2 linked regions of the Oryzias latipes genome follow. The protein of the gene in region 2 interacts with the protein of the main gene of each other region in a pairwise test. Links are inferred from orthologs where the notes say so. Each region holds a gene or a part of one and is shown on either strand. Other genes may lie near its edges.

Region 1 (10,320 bases), on a different chromosome or scaffold from region 2:
CAGATCTTGTTATTGTAATGCATGATTCTATAACATGTAGCCTTTTTTTCTCTCAAAGTTGGGTGAAGTTTTGTATAAACAGATTGGAATCTTGCTTCCTTATGACTGGCCCTCCAACGCCATCCCATAACTAGAACTACTAGCATGTGATTCCGTGTCTAATGCAGTGAAGTCTTTTATAACCAATGTGAAACTGTTAGAGTAGCGATTTGCTTGTATCTTCCTTAAAACATAACATTAGCATCTGCTTTCGCTCTTCCCCTTTTTGGTGTCACATGATATAGAACCACAGCTTGAGGTCGCTCGTGTTTTTTTCATGTAAATATAAATTAAGCTAATAATATCAAGGAATTGAGGTTAGCTTAATTTTTTGTTGTTGCTGTGTTTGGTTTAACGTTCCCCCGAAATGACTAAGTTTAGCTATGTTTTAGGTTCTTCAAAAGTTGTGTCGTTACTGTCTGTCTGGTTTTCCATACAAATACAAATTAAGCTAATAATAATCAATATAGGAATTAAGTTAGTTTACGTAATATCCGCTGCTTTTGGTTCAACGCCCCCCTGAAAGACTCATTCAGCCATGTTTTAAGTTTTGTAAAAGCTGTGTGTCGTCATTGCCAGAACATAATGTTATAAGTTTGTGTAATATAAACACAAGTTCCCTTTTACTCGACTTTGTTTACATTAAAGTAGGCATACATTGCAGGAGTTATCAATGATTTCGGTTGGTCTTGGTACATTCCGTTTCTATTTTAGAAGTAGTACATGATGGTTGTGTTGGTTTAGCTGCTCACCGCCTGCGTATTATCTGGGAAATTTGAGAATGTTCCCGTGTTAAGCTTCCTTGTTCACGTGCCAGTCAGACTGTGGTGAATCAAGGTCACGGTGTCGGAAGAAAAAAACAAAACAAAACAAAGAAATGCACACACCAACTGTTTGTCTGCTTAATCTATACCATCTAAAGATTTTTAAGATGTTATTATATGTAGTCCTTCTGAATCTACAGTTGGTTTTTGGAAAAATGAATTGTGTTGAACGCTTGATTGTATTTTTACATTGTATTTATTGGATTTTTAAGAAAGCTGTCAAACTGGTTTCAGAATGTGCTTCTTTTCTAGTCGTTTTTTTTTTCCCTTTTCTTTAATTCAGGTGTGGTCACAACAGTGTTAGGGGGTCTGCAGCATTTTAGGGAACTTCCTCATTCCTATAGCCACCATAATTCCTGGTTTTGGGCTTCTACACTCTTTGCCATGATTTATGCTCACCAGCCTTAGTAATGAGTAATGCTTTAATGGTCCAGCTTCTGATGCAACACTCAAGCACAGACTTAGTGGGTTCTTATTTTGCTTTGCCGCTGTCTCAAAGTCTGTGTCAACAGTGACCAAAATATTTTCCCGTTTGTTAATGATTATTTATGCTGCATGTCTTTTCTTTTAGGTAAAAAAAAGAGAATTGTTGATATTGTTCAGTGCAGTTTCACAGCCTGTTAGTGGATTGTTTTAATGTCTGCTTTTTGTTCCTTTTTTCTAGTTTTTTTTGGTTGTTTCAGTCTGCGAAAACCACAAAACAGAATATTATAAAGCTCATATGCTACTTTCATAGGAATTTGGGGGAGAAAAAAAAAGTCATATGGTCTGGTGGTTTTTTTCTGTGGAAGAGTATCTTGGGTTTATGCAATATCCTGAGGCCTTATGAAATAGTTTTCTTCTGTAAATAAATTATGGTGAAAAAAAATCCCTAAGAGCGTAGCATAATTTGTCTTTAAGAGTGTTGTTTGAAAGTTAAGTAACATTTGAGTCTGTGAGAGCAATTTGAAAGGAAATGGTTAGAAAACATTTTCATGCTTATTTCTATGTAAACCCAGAATTCAAAATGGACTTTTGTTTTGCAAACTTGTCCAGAGATTACCGTAGCTGTCCACAGACATGGATGGAACAAAGTTTATATCATGTCTAACGTTCAACCCTTACACTCCTGCAATGTTTACCCTAAACTTTATGAAGTTATTTGTGTAACATTTTTTCTTTCCAGATCATGCTATACATGTACGATCACTCATTCTTATTCTTATCTTATAAAGGCTACCAAATAAAAGCACTTGAGGCTAGTTTACCAGAGTGAAATTTAATCTGATCATTGAGACCTTACCTGACTGTCCGGGAGATTAAACGAGACAAAAGAATTCACACTTTGGAGTAATGAGATGGGTATACGTGTCAAATTGGGATTCTGCTTGTGTGTGGCGGCAACAAGGGAAACAGAGAAGCATGTTTATTATTCATAGCCATTCTCCCTCGTGACATTAACTCCAGTGTTGCTGTGAGCGAACAGATACGGAGGGGACAGGGTGTGGCAGGTGCAAAAGCCATGTTTCACAGCAGGGACAATAATTCTCCTTTCAGCACTAAGCGTATTCTCTCTGCAGGAGTGCACAATGGCTTCCAACTCTTTTGTTTGCGGTTGTTTTTTCAGGACCTGGACTTGATTGACATACTTTGGAAGCAGGACATCGACCTCGGTGCCAGGCGAGAGGTTTTCGACTACAACCATCGGCAGAAGGAGCACGAGCTGCAGCGGCAGCGCCAGTTGGAGGAAGAAAAGAAGCTGCATTTGCTGCGGGAGCAAGAGAAGGCCCTGCTGGCGCAGCTGAAGCTAGATGAAGAGACTGGAGAGTACATACCTCACACAAAACCCATCCTCCCTCCGCAGCAGGCTGTCGTATCCATCGAAATTTCTCAGGTACAGGCACATTGTAATATTATTTGTGTCAGAGGTGGGCCACTCCCTCTTCATTCAATGGGCTCTGCTTGGATGATTGCAGGATGCTAACTTCACTGAGGAGACTGGAGATGGCATGTCATTTGACGAATGTTTGCAACTGCTGGCAGAGACATTTCCTGTAGGGGAAACTGAGGTAAGAGTTTCATCTCTAATTGCCACAAATTCACAGCCTATGGTATGACTTCTGGTTTACAAATGTATGTTTGCCGCGCAGAATCCTTCAGTTTGCATGGAGCTGCCTCCTGTCTCGGTGTACCCCAGTGGCACCATGATGCCCTCTGAACAGCCGGCCCTGTCCCCCGCTGTCCTCCCAAACCCGCTGACTCCTCCACAAAGAGTTACCCCCGATCTGGAGGAGGCCTGGATGGAGATTCTGTCCCTCCCAGAGCTTCAGGTATAATTCCCATTTTTGTTTGGAACAAATATTCAAATGAACAAAAGGAGGCTTGGGCTAAATTATTTGTGAGAGATGCAAATAAATAGAAAATGTCTCTGCTCATTTTCTTACAGAATATTTTTATTGCTTTGGCAGTTGAAAGCATTAAAAACATTACACGTTCACAGTTTGGTGCTGTGACCTTAAAGTTGCAGAACTGGTAGGCGTGTAGTTCGGGGAAGGTGCGGCACTAATGATGCTTATGCTAACTGGGTAAAAGGTGTAGACATTTTTTTTTTGTCTCTTTCCGGTAGCTACACCTCATATTTGCATTAGCCAAAGGGCGGAGTTTAGTCGTGTTACTTGCCTAGTCCTGTCCCTCTGTGCACTAGATTACAATGATAACCATGAGGCTTAACATGATTGGGCAAGCTGCTAAAACTAGCTCAGAAGCAAAAAATGGATGTTTGGAATTGTTGTACGAAAGGTTCAAAAAGCATGGAAACTATGTTCCCATGTTTTAGGATTATCCATTTACATCATTAGGTGTGAACTAGCTCCATATGTGCTATTGGTACAACACCACTCAAATGGAGCAGCTCTTGATTTCAAGCCTGGGCTTCTCTGATTTAGAACCAATTTCTGCCAATAGATGTTTAGATTTTAATGCTGTCTACCTACATAATTCTAAAACCATTTAAAATTAATGAGCCTTATGGAAACTGTGCCCTTATTATTTTTTTCTCCCCCTAAACTTTGTGTCTTTTTATCTTCCAACAGTGTTTCAAAATGCAAGTGGATGAAACAATGGAGGCCACAAATTTTCCGATTCAGACCAGTCCTCAAGTGCAGAATCCAAGTTACCCAAACAACCAGTTGTTCCCAAATACTCCTTACTACCCTATGCCCAGTGCCTCAGATTTAAAAACAAAAAATTTAAATGTTGGTCCCGGAGAATTCATGAATACTTGTGATGGCCCTGTTCCCAGTATGGCTCCATCTGACATCAGCCAGATAAATGTGGAAGACCCTCAGGTGAATCCAAACTTTACCCCAGACAGCTTTTGTTCCAGTGTCTTTTATCCTGACACCATCGTGGAAGAGAGCAGCAGTCAGCATGGCCACGAGGAAAGTGAAAATGTGTCCGAGATACCAAGCAAGCCCTCGTTTACGCCCATGGACCTGTACACCCTTTCACCTGAAGATGTGTTTGACAGAAGCAAACGGCTGCCAGCAGATTTCCCAGATTCAGATTCAGGAATTTCGACTCACTCCAGTCCTTATTCCAGCTCCCCCAGCAAATCTGCTTATGGAGGGGGCTCCTATAATTTTAGTGATTCCGAAATGGACGACCTGGACCACAACCCCGGCAGTGCTGAGTCTGACTACTCGGAGATGTTCAGCTTGAATTTCCAACCCGAGGATCTTGAACTAGCAAAACCAGAGTCGGAACAGACTGGGCAGTGCAAGCAGCTCGACAAGAAACCAAAGCAACATATGGAAGATCCGGCTGAAGAGAGTGGTCACAGCGGCACACCGTTCACCAAAGACAAACCAAAGAAACGCTCCGATGTGCGTCTCTCTCGAGATGAGCAGAGGGCGAAGGCCCTTAAAATCCCCTTCACAGTCAGCATGATCATCAACCTGCCCGTCGATGACTTTAACGAGATGATGTCAAAGCACGAGCTGAACGAGGCCCAGCTGGCCCTGGTCCGCGACATTCGTCGCCGTGGCAAGAACAAGGTAGCCGCTCAAAACTGCCGCAAACGCAAGATGGAGAACATAGTGGGTCTGGAGCATGAACTGGACTTGCTAAAGGAAGAAAAAGAGCGTCTGCTGGACGAGAAGAGTAAAAACGCCACAAACCTGAAGGAAATGAAGCGACAGCTTAACAGCTTGTACCTGGAGGTCTTTGGCAAGTTGAGGGATGAGAAGGGGAATTCATACTCCCCGTCGGAGTACTCCCTGCAGCAGTCCACAGACGGCAGCATCTTTCTCGTCCCTCGCATGAAAAAGACTTTTAAGATCTAGGAAAGCCACTTTTCGCCTTTGTAATAGTGTATTTCAGCACCATAGAAACTATGCAATAACTTTGTAGTAGCTCAGCTTTAAGGTGTGGCAGCCTGGTGGAAGCATTCATTCGTTTTTGCTAACGTCTCATGAATGTTGTAATATTTTTGATATTTTACTTATTTTATACTCCAATATTGTCACAGTCTCTATAAACAATATTTTGTAAATATTAAGCCTCACCTGCTATTGAGATTCCTAAGAATGTCCTGTGCGTGTATATATTGTATATATATCATATTTCCGTATGCCTGTGATTCTGTCAGTTACTTTTTATAACTCATCTAATTTGCTGTCCAGTTAATTTAAATTCTTTCTTCTATGCTTTTAAATAAACAATTTAAAAACCTAGTGATTGAAATGTTTTTTTGTTCCAGCACACCATTCAAGCAGAGCCCATCAAATAAAAAAGCAAAGGGAGGGATCTGCAGCCTTTACAGAGATTACATAACAAACCAGATATTGGAGCCAAGTTAGATGAAAAGCTTTAGAAAGGGGCTTGGGAAGCAAACATGCTGCAGGATTTATCATCCATTACCTGCTTTCTATTAAAGCAAACATGGTTGCATAGTAACTTTAATATCGTTGACTCCCTTTAAAATAAATACATTTTGTGTGGTTGCATAACCAAATGCACAGAATATGGTAGCAAAGGCTAACACCGTCATGATCCGTGTGGCTTTCACTATACATGAACTCTCACACACAGGCACTGTCTCACCTTTGATCACCAAAACCATTCCCACTAAGTTAAACAGGTGAAAGGGTTTGATGCACCGTGATGAAATCAAAGTGACAAAACACCTCATTGACAGTTTTATTTCACAAACTCGATTTATTGCACAACAGATATTTGCAGATCGTCAATGAAAGGAGACCATAAAAAAAAAAAAAAGTTTTCTAAAATAAAAGGACATAAAACGTGTTCTACAAAAATAGTTTCAATTTAATGAAGCACCAACGCATTGAATAGAAATCAACAAATTAACCAGAGCTTAAATAGTAAATGGCGTTATACACAGTAACTTTATAACAGAGACCAATGCTCGCCATGTTTTTCTGCCTCAGTACTTCTTCCCTTTATGGCCGTTATCTGGTTTCTGCAGACCTTAGTGATGAGCTAAATCAATGTGATTAGAAATAAAAATGCAGAAAACACCACTGAATAATGGTACTTTTACTATTAGTAGTATACCATATATTAGTTTTAGCTTGAAAATTATATATTTTTTCCATATATACCTAGTGTTCATGATTTCATTTTGTTCTGTTGATGCATGTTTAAGCATCTCATGTCTGCATAGGAACAGTTTATTTCTTGGTTTTGTTTAAAAAGTGGTATTAAAAATGGTATTAAAATGATCTATTTTATTTGTTGGGATAAAATGCAGTAGAAACACATTATTGCCTTTCTAAACATAGAAAATGTCCTTTTTTTGGGTTCTCTGATTTTATTCCTGCAACAAACCTGCAAATGTTGAAACAGCAAAAGCTTTCAGATATTAAAATACATATTTCAGTAGGACTATATACACAGACGGTGCTGTGCATCAACCTTCTAGCTATTGTGACCAATGTGGTTGTTCTTGATGCCAAAGCTGTTCATAAAGTATGTTAGGGTAATACAAATTTTTTCTTTTCCACAGAAAAAAGTGATCTGTGTATTGATTTCAATATTTGAACGTTTAAAGAAAAGTGAATGTCGCTGTATAGGTGATATTCACATTTGATTTCGTTTTGTGTTCTATATTGGAGAGACACAAACATAGACTTTTGACAAAATGTCACACTTGATCCGTTTTAAAATGTTTTGGACCTATTTTAAACATTTTTATTGTTAGTTTTTTTTTTTAGAAGTAAAACATCTCAAAGCTGTTCATCTCATTCATTTCCATTTTATTTTAAAAAAATCATATACACAAGAACAAATGTGGCTGGAAAATTCTGAAAATAAATACAAATCTAATCAAAATCAGCTAATTAAAAAAAAACAGACATGGGCTTTTATAAAACAAAATCTAAACTAATGAAACAGGCCTGGACAAAAACAACTGTACCGCTTAAGGATCAACACAATTTTTCATTTGAGCATGATTAATTTAGCTGTGTCTGAATAGTATTATAGTTGTCTAACATTCAGATCGTCTGAAAGGTGACAATTAGTCACTGTGTTGATCCATTGATTAAGAATTAGTTATCTTTAGGAGATTTAAAATAAAAATAGTAAAAAATGAACAAAAAAAGAATTTCAAAACAAGCACGTAAAGACTAAACTGGCCTAAAAAAAGATAGTAAAAAAAAGATAATGTAGTTAAGGAACTGAGAACAACCTCCAAAACCAAAAAAAGACAAAGCACAAGTTTTTCCAAAGTGGACCTTTTAAGAGAAGACCAAGAAGAGGAAATTTAATAAAAAATAAAATCATGATGAAAGAAAAACAAAACAAACAAAAAAGAAAAGATTGCCACAACATACATTTTAGGGAGAAGTTTTTTTCTTTCTTTTAGAAGGACTAGATTTCTGGTGATCAGCTCCAGAATCACAAAGCATTCCAGCTAAAGGAGACAGTCAGATGTAAAACACGGTGGAGGCTTGTCTATGATCTTTGTTACATCTGGCACAAGGTGTCCCAATTCTGTGCAAAGAAGATTGTTCAATGACATTCCAAGACTATCCAGGCATTCTGGATTAAGATAAGTTACAGAAACATGGAGCTATCCTTCCAGCCAGAGAACTGGTTCTCCTTGTGATGGAGGTGGACAAAAAAAATAACCCTTATGTAACAAACTCGTGTTTGATGCCAACATTTTTGCCCAGGTCTGTTTCTTTAGTTTAACCTTAAAGTAACCTTTTTTTACTTCCAAATTTAAGATTTTATTTCAGATCGGAAGCCACGATTACACCGCCCTGGGCAATGCACGTTCAAGTGGCCACTTTCAATGAAAAGTCTGTATAAATGAGCGTTATGGACTTCTTCTGCGTTCAAAACTTTTGCATTCACACGTAGATACGCAAATTTCTACGATCGCTTTCCAACTCAGCGCACAAAATGCACAGTCCTTGAATGTGTTTGAAAGTTAAACCAGGATGAACTGTGTCCAATCAGGGACTCTGATTTGGTAGTGAGGCATGGATGGCGTCTTTTAATTAATTGAATGGCCAATTGTTTGAAAATTGATCATGGAGAAAAAATTATCAAGTGCGGTCTGTGACTGGCTGGAATTCTATAACACCAAGTCTTTCATGCATCGGAATAGAGCTGTGAAAGAAAAATCCTGGAGCAAGATTGGCGAGATTTGCGGCGCTTTGACATTTCGCATGAAGACTCTACCCACCGTGGCAGACATGAGTTAGTAAACAGTAGGAAAAGAAGAAGCCCCTCCCTGCTTATCCAGTGTGAACACCATGGGCGCACTTTTGAACACACGTCACACGCCCGGTGTCTCCATGGCTGAAGACAGTCTCATCTTCTCAGACCTGCATGTTTAGTGTCAGCTAAATATATATTTATGTCCAGGTTTTTAGATTCATATCTTCTTGGTCAGTTACCTTTGTACAGAATGTTTCTAAATCACCTTTGAAAATTGAAATTGAAAATTTGGTCATTCAAAGAACCTGAATGACGACTTAAGAACCCTCCCATTCTCACCTTAAGTCTATTTCCCTGTACGCCTTACCACACAGTACATAATCAACATTCAACCTTGAAAAATATTTACAAAAAAAAAAAAAAAAAGTCTTACCCATCCAGAACTTTCCAAGTTATCAGGTCTTTACAGATTTTCGGCAAGAAGAGAATGCCCAAATCCACATCTGTAAATCAAGCAAAGTGGTTACTCTTACCTGATCCATCTTCTCAAGTCAGCTTTTGTGAAATATTGGCTCCCTTTTCTTGTTCAATGTCTGACATCTAGTATTTGCAGGTTAAACTGCTGTATCTCACTAAACAGGATCTTCAGTGAGTCCAGGACCTAGTCTTTCTTGGCGAGAACCAGCTGCTGGAGTTTAGCTAGCCTTGGAAAAAGACAGATGCTCACTACCAGGCATGACACTGCAAACTTCCTTCCATGGCCGTTGCGCTCGATGCTGCCTTCTCCCTTCTCTCTCAAAATGCTGACTGGTCCACTGTGCTGGGGCTGAAGTCGTCCTGTCTGATTGTCATCCTCCACACTAGCGACGCTGAGGGCCAAACTGCAGGAGCTTGTGGTTCTCATACTCCTACCTTCTCAACACTGGCAAAGCTGCACTCGGGGCCCTTCCCTGGAACTATTCAAACCTCCCTTTTAAAATGGCGACGGTATCCGTGAAAGCACAGAATATTGCACATATGAACAGACACCATCATGTTTTTCATAACAATCCCAAATTTGGGACAAGTCAGAAAAGGCTGATATGCTAACCACAGTCACAATGAGCATGCATGCTTTTTTTCCGAACCAATGATGCACTGAATCTTGTGTTACTTTACTAAACAACTTTATTCAGTCGTTTCTTTCACTAACCAAAAATACGGGAACAATCTGGAATCTGTTTCAATGGAAGAAATGAGAAGTGCGGGATTCCCTTAGTTCTAATCTAAGCTGTTTATTTCTGTTGACACTGACACTATGAAAAAGTTACACACTGTGCTTTTACATACAAATCAATACACACTTGACACTTGCAATTCGGAAATAATAAATTAGGAGGGAAGAAACAACTACTTCTGGCTTTTGAAGGGCCTTTTATAACTATGCTATCTGACAGTTGCTAAGATCAAAAATGTATGTTTAACTGGTCATTATGATAAAACTAACCAATATAAAAAATTTAAACAAAAATATGTAGGACTTAAAAAAAGAAAGAAAAGAAAGAAAATTTACCCCTGATCCAATAGGCACAATACACACAATTCAGACACAGAAAGGAAAACTTCCTCATTAGGTTCACATCTAGGAGAAATAGGAAAGGACATCGTCTGCACTCATGTCTTGTTCATACAGTCCTCCTTCCATACACTTCTTGGATAAGCTGCAGTAATGTCTGACTTCTGTGTTCCTCTACTGCTTTCAGATGACTGCCTCAAAGTAACCTGCAGCTTTCCTGACAACTCCTTT
Region 2 (10,284 bases):
TGTTTCTGCAGAAGCTTTGAAACGGAGGAAAAAACCCACAACCCACAGTTCTGCCGTTTTATTTATATTCTGATTCTGAAGGAAGTTTTACTTTGGAAAACTACTGGATTCTCTCCACTACATCCAACTTATTCTTGATGCAAGTCCAATATCTGCAGCTGCTTTAAACTTTATTAGTACACTGGATTTTATGTGGGTTCCACTAAAATGAGACATGGAGCTTCCCTAACCCATAACTGCTGTCAAAGTAGAAGCTAAATAGAAAAAAAGTCTCCAGAACGGATATTCTCTAAATATAATTGAAGTGAATCCGCTCTGTTTTAGCAGCGTCCTTGTAGCGTTGAGCTGGTGTTACACCAAAAACTGTGAGCTGTCAGATGTTTTTGCTGAATCTCACTACCACCTTCCTCCTTCAGATTTAATGTAAATGATATATAATGACAAGATCAACATTATGCTGTTTTTGTTCTGATTTAATATGAAACCTGATCACCTGGAAGCAGAACAGGGAAATCTCTAGTAAATCTGTTTTTTGTTTTCTCAGCATGTTTGAATTAAAGTTTACAGTTAGATGAAAAAGACGTGTTTACAGCATTAATAAATTACTTTTATGCATTTTCATTTCCTTAAAAATATTCCGAATAGTCTGTGTAAAATAGTGTTACAATTTGTTAAAAATATACGTTTTTTTTATAATACAGTCAACTTGGTCGGTTACATAAAAATTACATTTTGCCCCAGTGTGTGGAGGTATTACAGTTACCGGTATTTAAAATCCGTACATAAGCAGAGTAACATGCACTGCAAGTTGTGCAGCATTATTAAATTTACAATCACTGGTTACAATTTAAACTGGAAGAGATTTATTTATCAATTCTTCAACTGCTTCAAACCAGCAATATCTTCAAAAATAAGGAAAAAAAGGTCTGAACAAACCATTTCAGTTGAAGTGTCATCTAATAAAACTGGATTAAAAAGATATTTATCCTTCCTTTCAATGAAACTACTGTAACCCTCCATTGTTTCTCTTGTTTACAATAAATCTTACGTCATCAGGGCTCCAGACTGCGAGCAATTGGTCGCATTTTGCGACCAAAATTTGAGAGTGTGCGACTGAATTTTACATCCAGTCGCACATGCGTGACCAGTAAATTTGCCTCCCCCACCCTTCGTATTTTTTACGAAGGGTGGTCATTGACGTGGAAGGGGCACGTCAATGATCAATGAAATAATCAATGAGACGCGAGCGCACACGCACGCAGGCAAGCGCACACGGACGCAGGCAGGCGCACATACTCGCGCACATACTCATGAAACGCGAGCACGTATACTCTCGCGTGATACCTGTCTGTGAGGCGGCCACTGCGTGTGAGAAGAATAGGGAAAGCCACTGTGAGTGGCTGAAATGCGTGTAGGGGGAGGGGCCTAGAGATAATCGAGCGCGCGTAAACATCTGTGGGAAGGAAACGGAGACAAATATCATCACAACCTGATATGTGCGTCTGAGCTGCTATGAGTAAGCGAACTATTGATTCGTTCTTCCGACCTGCGGCTAGTGTACCAGTGCCAGAGTGTACAGCAGGGGTCTCAAACTCGCGGCCCGCGGGCTATTTGCGGCCCCCAAGATGATATTTTGCGGTCCCCGCCTTAATATGAAGGTTTAATGTTACTGCAGCCCGCCAGTTTGTATGAATGACACTTTTTCATTGTCGTGCGCGAAGCTGACCAACCAATCACAGTGGGGTATATGACTCTTGGGGGGCGTGGCAATGACAGGGTTTGAAAGCAGGAAACCTGACAGCCCCCTCCCCGGACCACATTAAGGAGTTCCTTACTTTCCTTTAGAACGTATTTATTCGCTCGTGATTTTCTAAATACATGCAGTCCGTGCTGAACTTTTCTCTGGGCCGCACAGACCCGGAGGAAGGTTTAGGTTTTGGTTACGGTTACGGCGGCGCATCAAACGGTTTATGCACGGCCGTTACGGCAGCACACCGCTCCCGCGGGGGTCGGGTCAGCTGAGGAGAATAAATGTCCCACACCTACATGCGTGACGGCTAACGGGGCTTGAACTTTAAACACGTGCGAGCAAAAACAACATTAGTTTTAGACACACTGAAAATACGTGGGGAAAATGCAACGATAGACGTGTTTGAGATGAACCGGCACCTCGCCTGGATCGTTGGGGAGACCAGGCGGGGGGGGGGTCTGTGTTATTATATATTTTATGATTATTTTAAGGTTTTGTAATGTATGTAGCCTTTTTTAATGAATTGGTATTTTAAATTATTTTAATTAATCACTCCACTACAAAAACCATCAGGACACATGTCCCATAATGCATTGTTTTGTAGTCTGTAGGGCAGCTTTCAGTCAGTTCAGTTTCCAGCTGTGTCCGGGTAGGTTTGCCCCTTGCTCCCACCCCTTTCTCGCGATATTTTTGTGATGATTGACAGTTGATGTTGGAGCAAAAACAAAAATATGTCACACACCAGGTGATCTGCGCAGCGTTGAGTTCACCTGGGTGATCTCAAACACGCTTATTGTGCATCTTGGCTGCACCTATTTGGTGTCACAAAGATAAATTTCCATCCGTTTTCTTAACTATTTGTACTGTCATGACAGCGATGGTGCTGTCAGTTTACCTTGTTGTTGCATCTTCAAAAGTGCAGATTAAAATGTGACACTGAATTTCAAACAGCATATTGTAATTTCTGCATCTATTATTAAAGTATTTATTAGTAATACAGTGGAAATTAGTAGATCTGGTTAGCATGTTGATTTACGGTATGCGCCCCTAAATTGTCTGGTTGTGCCCCTAAAATTTTCAGTTAGGGGCCACTGTGCTCCTAGTGAAAAAAGTTAGTCTGGAGCCCTGGTCATTGATTCACTAGAGCAGTGTTTTTCAACCTTTTTTGAGCCACGGCACACTTTAACCTTGACAAAAATCCCGCGGCACACCAGCATCCAAAAAAAAAAAAAAAAAAACAGAAATTCATGGTCTGTATTGATCGACAGCGATCAAGTAGCTGCAGGTAAATCGCGGTAACGTAATCCTTATCAAAATGTCTTTAATAGAATTAAATAAACACAAAGAAAAAGTAATTTTAAGATCTTTCATATTCCTAACTACTCAGTGTTTTATCAGGGCCTGTTTGGATGAACAAAGAGCTGATATCCTGGAGATGGGAAATGTTTTTAGATCAGTGAATGATTAATGAGGGCAATTTCTCCACGGCACACTTGACCATCTCCCACGGCACACTAGTGTGCCGCGGCACACTGGTTGAAAAACACTGCACTAGAGAGCAAAAAAGAACAGCAGTAAATGACCTTTATGAATGAATCAGTTCCACTAATGACCAGCAGATGGTGCCAAAAGACTCCAAATAAAACATCTGATTGCTCATTTAAGATAAGCTGTGATTTCAGGTGTGGATGGCTACAATGATTTCCAGGTAAAGTATAATATATTTTAGATGATTAAAATGTAGTTCACAGCTTTAAAATAATAATAAGGAGGAAAATGGATGATTTATAAACCAACTACATCCAATTAAACATAAACAGATTGATAGAGATGCCTATTTTTGGTCATAGGATGTCAGTGCTTCTGGTTTGGACTCACCCTTGGCGTTGGAGGGCTCTCGGGGAGGCCGTGGTGACATCGTGACTGTGCGACTTCTCACTGGAGAGGTGCTGCTGGGATGTGGGCTGGGAATGAGACGTCTGCTTTACTGCTGGTGTATTCACCTGAAACGCAAGCTCTGCATCAGCGCAAAAACCGCAATTTCTCTGTCAACGTATTCACATAAACCAAGAATCCCAGAGACCAGAAATGACATGTTTCATTGTTGGGAAACCTTACAAGACAGATTCCATCAAGCAGCAAAAACCTGCAGAAATGTCAACTATCACCCAGCTGGCATGAGGCTGTGTCATATCTTTGCTCATCTTTGGTTGTAAATGAGATGACCTGACTTTACTGGTTGTCAGACAAGAGTGCAGTCTGGTTGAGAGGTGGCAGTGTCTTACCTTTGACTGTGAGATGACAGGCTGCGTGCTGAGGAGGGGTTTGTGGGGGCCGGCGTTGGTCTGCGGCGTGCTGATTCTCGGGGAAACGTAGGATCTTGGTGATGAGGCGTCTGATGTTAAAGACATTGGTGACTGATTTGACTGCTGGCCTGTTGAGGAGTGTAGAAAATAAATTCAGACTTTTATCTCATCAGTTGTTGCGTAAGTTTTTTAATTGAACAAAGTAAATACAATAACTCCAAAATGAGGTCTGCTGTATTTTCAGTTGGACTCCAAACCTGATTATTTAAGTCATTAAGAAGGTCACAAACGCAAAATGACATTTAACATAAAAACTTGGAACAAATCAGGCCTTTCATTTCCATCGGGGCTGCTAAGTCCTACCTACACTGTATGATTTGTTCCCCCCATTTATAAGTACTTTATGGTATAGCCCTACTCTGTAACCAGTGGAGTAACTTTACAAAATATAATTGAGTTATTAGTTTAAAAACCAAAACCCACGAAAGTGGCACTAGATCTGTTGTGGAGTCAGGTTGAGAAGCTGCACTTTTGCTCTGAGATGGTTAGACACAGAGCCACTTTTCTTAAATAAGAAACCCTTTAAGAATGCGGGGGTTGACCCGTACGGTGCTGTGCGTTTTTGGGTTGACTGGGCCATTGGAGGGTCGTGGAAAGGAGCGGCTGCATCTTTAGAGGAGCACAGGTGTGTCTTGCAGTTGCCTCAGGGTAACCATCTTAAATGAGACGCCATGAAAATGGAACATACTCCTGTTGTACGTGTTGGAAGTATTTTGTGAAGTATTTATAAGGACAATGTAAGTTGCACTCACTTGCATGTGATGCTCTAATCCACCTGCCAGGGCAGTTGTGACTAAGGCTTTAGAGCTTTAGAAGTGTTTGAACCAGCACACCCACATGCACCTTAAACTAACAGGAGCCCTTCCTGTATTTTTGTTGTTTGAATAAACAGTACTTTATAACGTCTTATTTTGTCTTGCATGACTGTATCAGTCTGTGTGTTAAAGTCATTGTATAAAGTGTATTCTGTGTTCATGTTGTCACATGTAAATTATGTAAATTAAAACTAAAATTCATCAACTCCCACTCTAAGCATCTTTTGATCTACTGTAAAATCGTCCCCGGTGGTCTTTTAATTATGATTATGTCATTTTAGGAGAAAAATCAAACAACCTGTGTCATTTTCCAGGACATAGTTTCTGCAGAGCAGCAGTAGTTAATTAGAATTTCACCTCTGGGTTGTGGAGTGGATCTGCTGGTGTGGAGTAAGCCCCCCCCCCTCCACTTCCTGTCACCCATCCGTTTACTCTCTCTTCCACTAGCTTACAGCCTCTCACACCTCAACCCAACATAAGCAGTGCAACAAAAACGGTGAGCAATCTCAGAGCTATCCAGGCGCACAGTTCGGAACCAGATTCCAGCTCAGAAGAGGAAACAGAGACGTTCATGGATGTAGTCCACTACAAGTGGATGAATCAGAATGGAGCAGAGCAGGGAGCTACGTCACAACTACAAGCTTTTTTTTACCATCTGCTTAATACACGACAATTTGAATAAAGAACTACTCAGAAATGTGATTCTAAGCTTAATTTTCTCTGTCTATGTCTTCAAACATGTGAAAAATGCTACAAGAACATGTCTTTAAAACAACAACAACACCAAAGCCTGAACTCACCTTGGTTAGAAAGCTGAGCGGCTTGAGAAAGGATCGTAGTGATATTGAACGCCGACGGTCCAGCTGTGAAGATCTTGTGGAGCATCGACTGTAATGAAGCTTGTGTGACAGCAGCTGTGAGAACTACACAAAAACAAGAGGAAACCCGCTGTTAGGCATGCAGATCAAATAGTCTAGGTACTACAAATACATGATTGTTTGCAAGCTTGGATTCAGCAAACACCTGAACACTGTCAATATTTGGAAAGGTTATATTTTCATGGTACTGGAAATCTGCTTCTGCAGAACTTCAATAACATTTGGAGACGGATAAAGCAGACGCAACAATCCGACTGCTCTGATTTCTCAAATATTACATTTATCTTATATAGTGTTACAATCATTCTGTCACAGTAGGGTTTTTGCACACAAAACCAATAGGTGGGCAGCCAGCAAAGGTGCATCAACAGCTGTACAAGGAGATCAGACGGCCCACTCACAATTACTGAAATGTGAAACTACAGATCTGTGTGCAGAGGCCTAATTACTGGATGACAGCCACTCCTGCAGCTCCTCGCTGCTTCAAGGAGACGCAGAGCTGTGGAGGCAACGACCATAATGACGGATGTGCGCCGAGTAAATGTGCTTCTGACTGTTCAACCAAAGCCGTCTGTTCAATGATCTGCAGAGAGGACAAGAAGCACGGAGAAAATCTGCTGCTTCTGATGGGAACCTTAAAAACTATTTAAAGTAAAAACCGGTCATACAGTATGAATCAATTTCACTACTGAATTACTTAAGACATAAATTGGAGAGTTACTTATTAAAATTTCAATCAAATAAAAGGCTGTGGGTTGAACTTCGATTTTCCAGACAGTTGGAATGGAATTGAATTGGCTGCTTGATAGTTGTCCAAGAGTGTGTTCACACACACACTTCCGCCACGTGTGGGAAGAGGTACTGTCAAAAGTTTATAGCCTCATCGCTACATCATGGAGGACACGTCATTTATGTTTTTTTTTAAAGCTATACAAAGGCGTCAGAAAGAACGTTGCTATGTCTTGGTACTGTCATGATGCGGCTGTAACGAGTAACCGAATATTTGGATATTTGTGATCTGTTCCCAAAAATACAAAGATGAATATTTAGCATCATCCATGATAGCTTATTCGCAATCGTTCTAAATTTAACAGAGCGCTTTTAAATTTATATATAAAAAAAGAATAAAATAAAAACCATCCACAGCTCTAGTTCATGAGATCATTCAGTCTCCCTGTACAGAATGTCGCTTTCAGTGGGACGTCCTTCTCTGAGACTCTGTCTGAGGACTTGCTGTCCCGCATTAGTCCAAAGATGGTAAAAAAAAAAGAAAGAACAGCCATTAGAATAGGGCTGCACGATAAGAGGAAAACTCGCGATCTGCGATATTAGTGATCAATATTGCAATGATGATATAAGTTGCGATACATGAAAAAATAGCAAACCAACCAAAAACGTCATTTCATTGCAACATTTTATTTGAAATAAAAGTCAACACAACTTAAATTACACTCTTAATGACCTTTGTCTACTTAGGAGGCGAGCATCTAACATAAAAGGCATCCGTCCCATTGGTCAAATGCTTAAAGGGATTTATTTGATTCGTTAAATACTTCAAGCTGGGGTAGGATTTGGGCATAAATGCTGTTAAAGGAGACAGATCAACGCCGAGAAGGGAATTCTACAGATCCTAAAAGCTTCTGTACCTTCGTTGATTTTGGCCATGTCCACGCTGGCGTTGTTCAGTTGCAGTGCGGTCTGAAGTGCTGGGAGGAGCTGGCGAAACAGAGTGGGGTCCTGCAGTAACGGAGGAGTTGACGACTGAAGAACCGGAGAGACAGGCACTGTGGAAGCTGACGATCCATGCGGCCCAGATGACGGGTTCACGCCACCCGAGCCTGATGACGACAACGACGATGACTGAGTGGCATGAACTGCTGAAGGCTTCTCCGCCTGGGATGATTCTGTGAAAAATTTGAAAAAAGAACATATATATAAATATTTTAGGTATTTGCTCACATTGTAGTTCAAAAACTACAGTCCGGGAGGAAAAAGTAAGTGCAGCGTGTCCTGATCATGTTAAGGAGCTGCCTCTAGGTTTTCAGGTGAAAGGAGCTAAGTCACTTCAAACATTAACCACCCTCAATTGTCCTAGGGATTTTTTTGTGTTAAGGTGGATACTTTAGATAGATATTTCTTTATTGATCCCACATTGGGGAAATTCAATTATCACAGCAGTTCCAAAAAGCAGAGAAAAGGGACAGCAATGTGCAAAAGTGAGGGGTGTTCCCAAATGTGCAAGTATACAAATACAAAAATGTGCAAAAATATAAAAAAAGTAAAATGTAAGTAAGTAATAAATTATGTACACTATTACAACATAACACGTTATGCCTAATAATACAATTAAATAAATAAAGTGAAAACACATAACACCATAACTGTTTATCTAAAGCAGTGTGTAGTTTTGTGGTAACCTGGGAAAACATTAAAACAAAAGACCAGTGGTTGTAATTTGCAGGAGGGCAATCAGGTCTGGTGAAATCTTCCTCTGAGTTTGTCAATAAAAGTTAAAGGCCTCAAACACTATTCATACCATCAGACAGATCACGAAAACTACACAAGACAACGAAAAAGGCTTTAAATGACTGTGGGCCTTTAGATGGCTTTAACCAAGTAGAAGATAGAGAAGCTGATGCAGAATTTATCTGAAGAAGTTTTACTAAAAAGATCTAAATAAAATACAAGCTTGAAAGGTAACTGTAAAACTCAGGCTGTAAAAGCAAACATCAAAATTACACAGTGAAAATTATGAATATTGAAAGAAAAAGGTACACTTTGGAAAATCCCACTATGCTCATCTTTTGATTTATTTTAAAGTAGATGGCAGTCTTTGGTGGTATGATTATGGTATACTGTTTTCAGCCAAAAAAAACAAAAACCTTGTCATTTTATAGGACATAGTTTCTGCAGAGGGGCAGAAGTTGTAATGCGAGTTGTGGGTGGGACTGTTGTCATGGACCCCCCCCCCCCCCCCCATTACTGTTTACTCTCTCTCATGCTAGCTTACAGCCCTTCAAACCACTAACCTAACAAAAGCGGTGCTACAAAAGTGGAGAGAAACATCAAAGCTATCCATTCGTACAGTTTTGATCCAGATTCCAGCTCAGACGAGGAAAACAAAGACATTCATGGATCTATTTGTTTACCAATGGATGCATCAGGATGGAGCGAAGAATGAAGCTCGTTGACATAAAAATCCGCTCTTTTTCTAACTGCACTTTTACATTTGCTCCTGATTCACAACAATTTGATGGAGAAATGCACAAAAATTTAATTTAGGCTTTTTTTTTATACAAGCCCTCCATCAGACAAATGCCACGAGAACATGTTAAAAACACCAAAAACACAACTGTTTATCAAAGTGGCTCTTTAAATGCTAACTTAGTGTTAAACATGAGCAGCAGAAAGTAAATGTCATCACAAAAGCAACAAATAAAACCTGGCCTTGTGACGGGGAGTATTTTTTTTAAAGAAAATTACTGTCTATTAAACACAACACAGTGTCCTAATGTGAAAAACACCCAGCAACAAGAGTCTTGAGTCGACTCCACAGCACGACCCGGTGAAGGTGTGTTGTGACCTGGATGAGCTGCTGGGCTCTGTTGGAGCCACCAATAAAGATTCAAATAAAAACTATGATTGTCAAGTTAATTAAGCAGATCAACGAGTCGGGGCGTTTTCCTTAAACTGCTTTGTCTAAACTTTTCACATTGCCCAAACGTGTGTACCGGTATTCATGAGTGAAATGCAGCAAAGGATTTTCATATCATTGTCATCAAAAGGGATGCATCAGATGTCTGTGAAAGACTGTCTAACATTCAAAATGCCATTTCAAATGGGTTTCAAATGCAAAATACAAGCAAAGAAAAAAGAAATTAAGCAGCTATGGACAACATTTATTTTCCTTTTGACAGCTCAGCCTTGGAGTAGAGTGTCCCCCTGAAACTGGAAGGCCATAAGTTCAAATCCACGGCCGAGTCACAGCAAATGTTTTAAAAATGGGACCCAATGCAAAGAAAGAAAGAAAGGAAAAGAAAGAAAGAAAGAAAAAAGTAATCGCAGGAAAGGTTCAACATGTAATATATTTACAAATAAAGAAGGTACACAGAAGGAGTTTTCAAAGTTGTAATAATATACCTGAGCTTTTCTTTCCAAACAGTGCCTGTGACACGGCAGCAATATGGTAGTGACAGGGCTGGTTAAAAAAACATACCGGTAAAAGTCACTGAGAGCAGCAGTAACACAGAGGCAAGCGCTGCGAAGGAGGGGGCTGGAAGTTTTCTTCCACAACAGTGACACACCGTAACACAGCGCCAACAGGGCTGGTTTAAAAAAAATGAACGTAAACGTCACAGAGCTTTCTTCATCTTCCTCCTGTGCACTGAAACCATGGAAGTCTTCCTCAGTGTTGGATGATTCATTTATAGGGGCGTGATGATAACCGCATCACCGGAGTGATGACCTCATCACCT

What was found.
Region 1: the proteins of wac (region 2) and nfe2l2 interact in a two-hybrid assay, tested with the Homo sapiens proteins (2 studies listed by BioGRID and IntAct). The two-hybrid records come from large-scale screens. The link is inferred for Oryzias latipes from reciprocal best matches to the Homo sapiens genes WAC and NFE2L2.

Annotation. Positions count from the first base shown.
Region 1 is NC_019879.2:22,674,497-22,684,816, reverse strand, and holds the end of nfe2l2 (nuclear factor erythroid 2-related factor 2), read left to right. Parts: intron 1-2,469; coding exon 2,470-2,736; intron 2,737-2,818; coding exon 2,819-2,911; intron 2,912-2,992; coding exon 2,993-3,172; intron 3,173-3,934; coding exon 3,935-5,185; 3' UTR 5,186-5,575; downstream 5,576-10,320.
Region 2 is NC_019878.2:7,918,340-7,928,623, forward strand, and holds part of wac (WW domain-containing adapter protein with coiled-coil), read right to left. Parts: intron 7,714-10,284; coding exon 7,456-7,713; intron 5,855-7,455; coding exon 5,732-5,854; intron 4,185-5,731; coding exon 4,036-4,184; intron 3,754-4,035; coding exon 3,629-3,753; intron 1-3,628.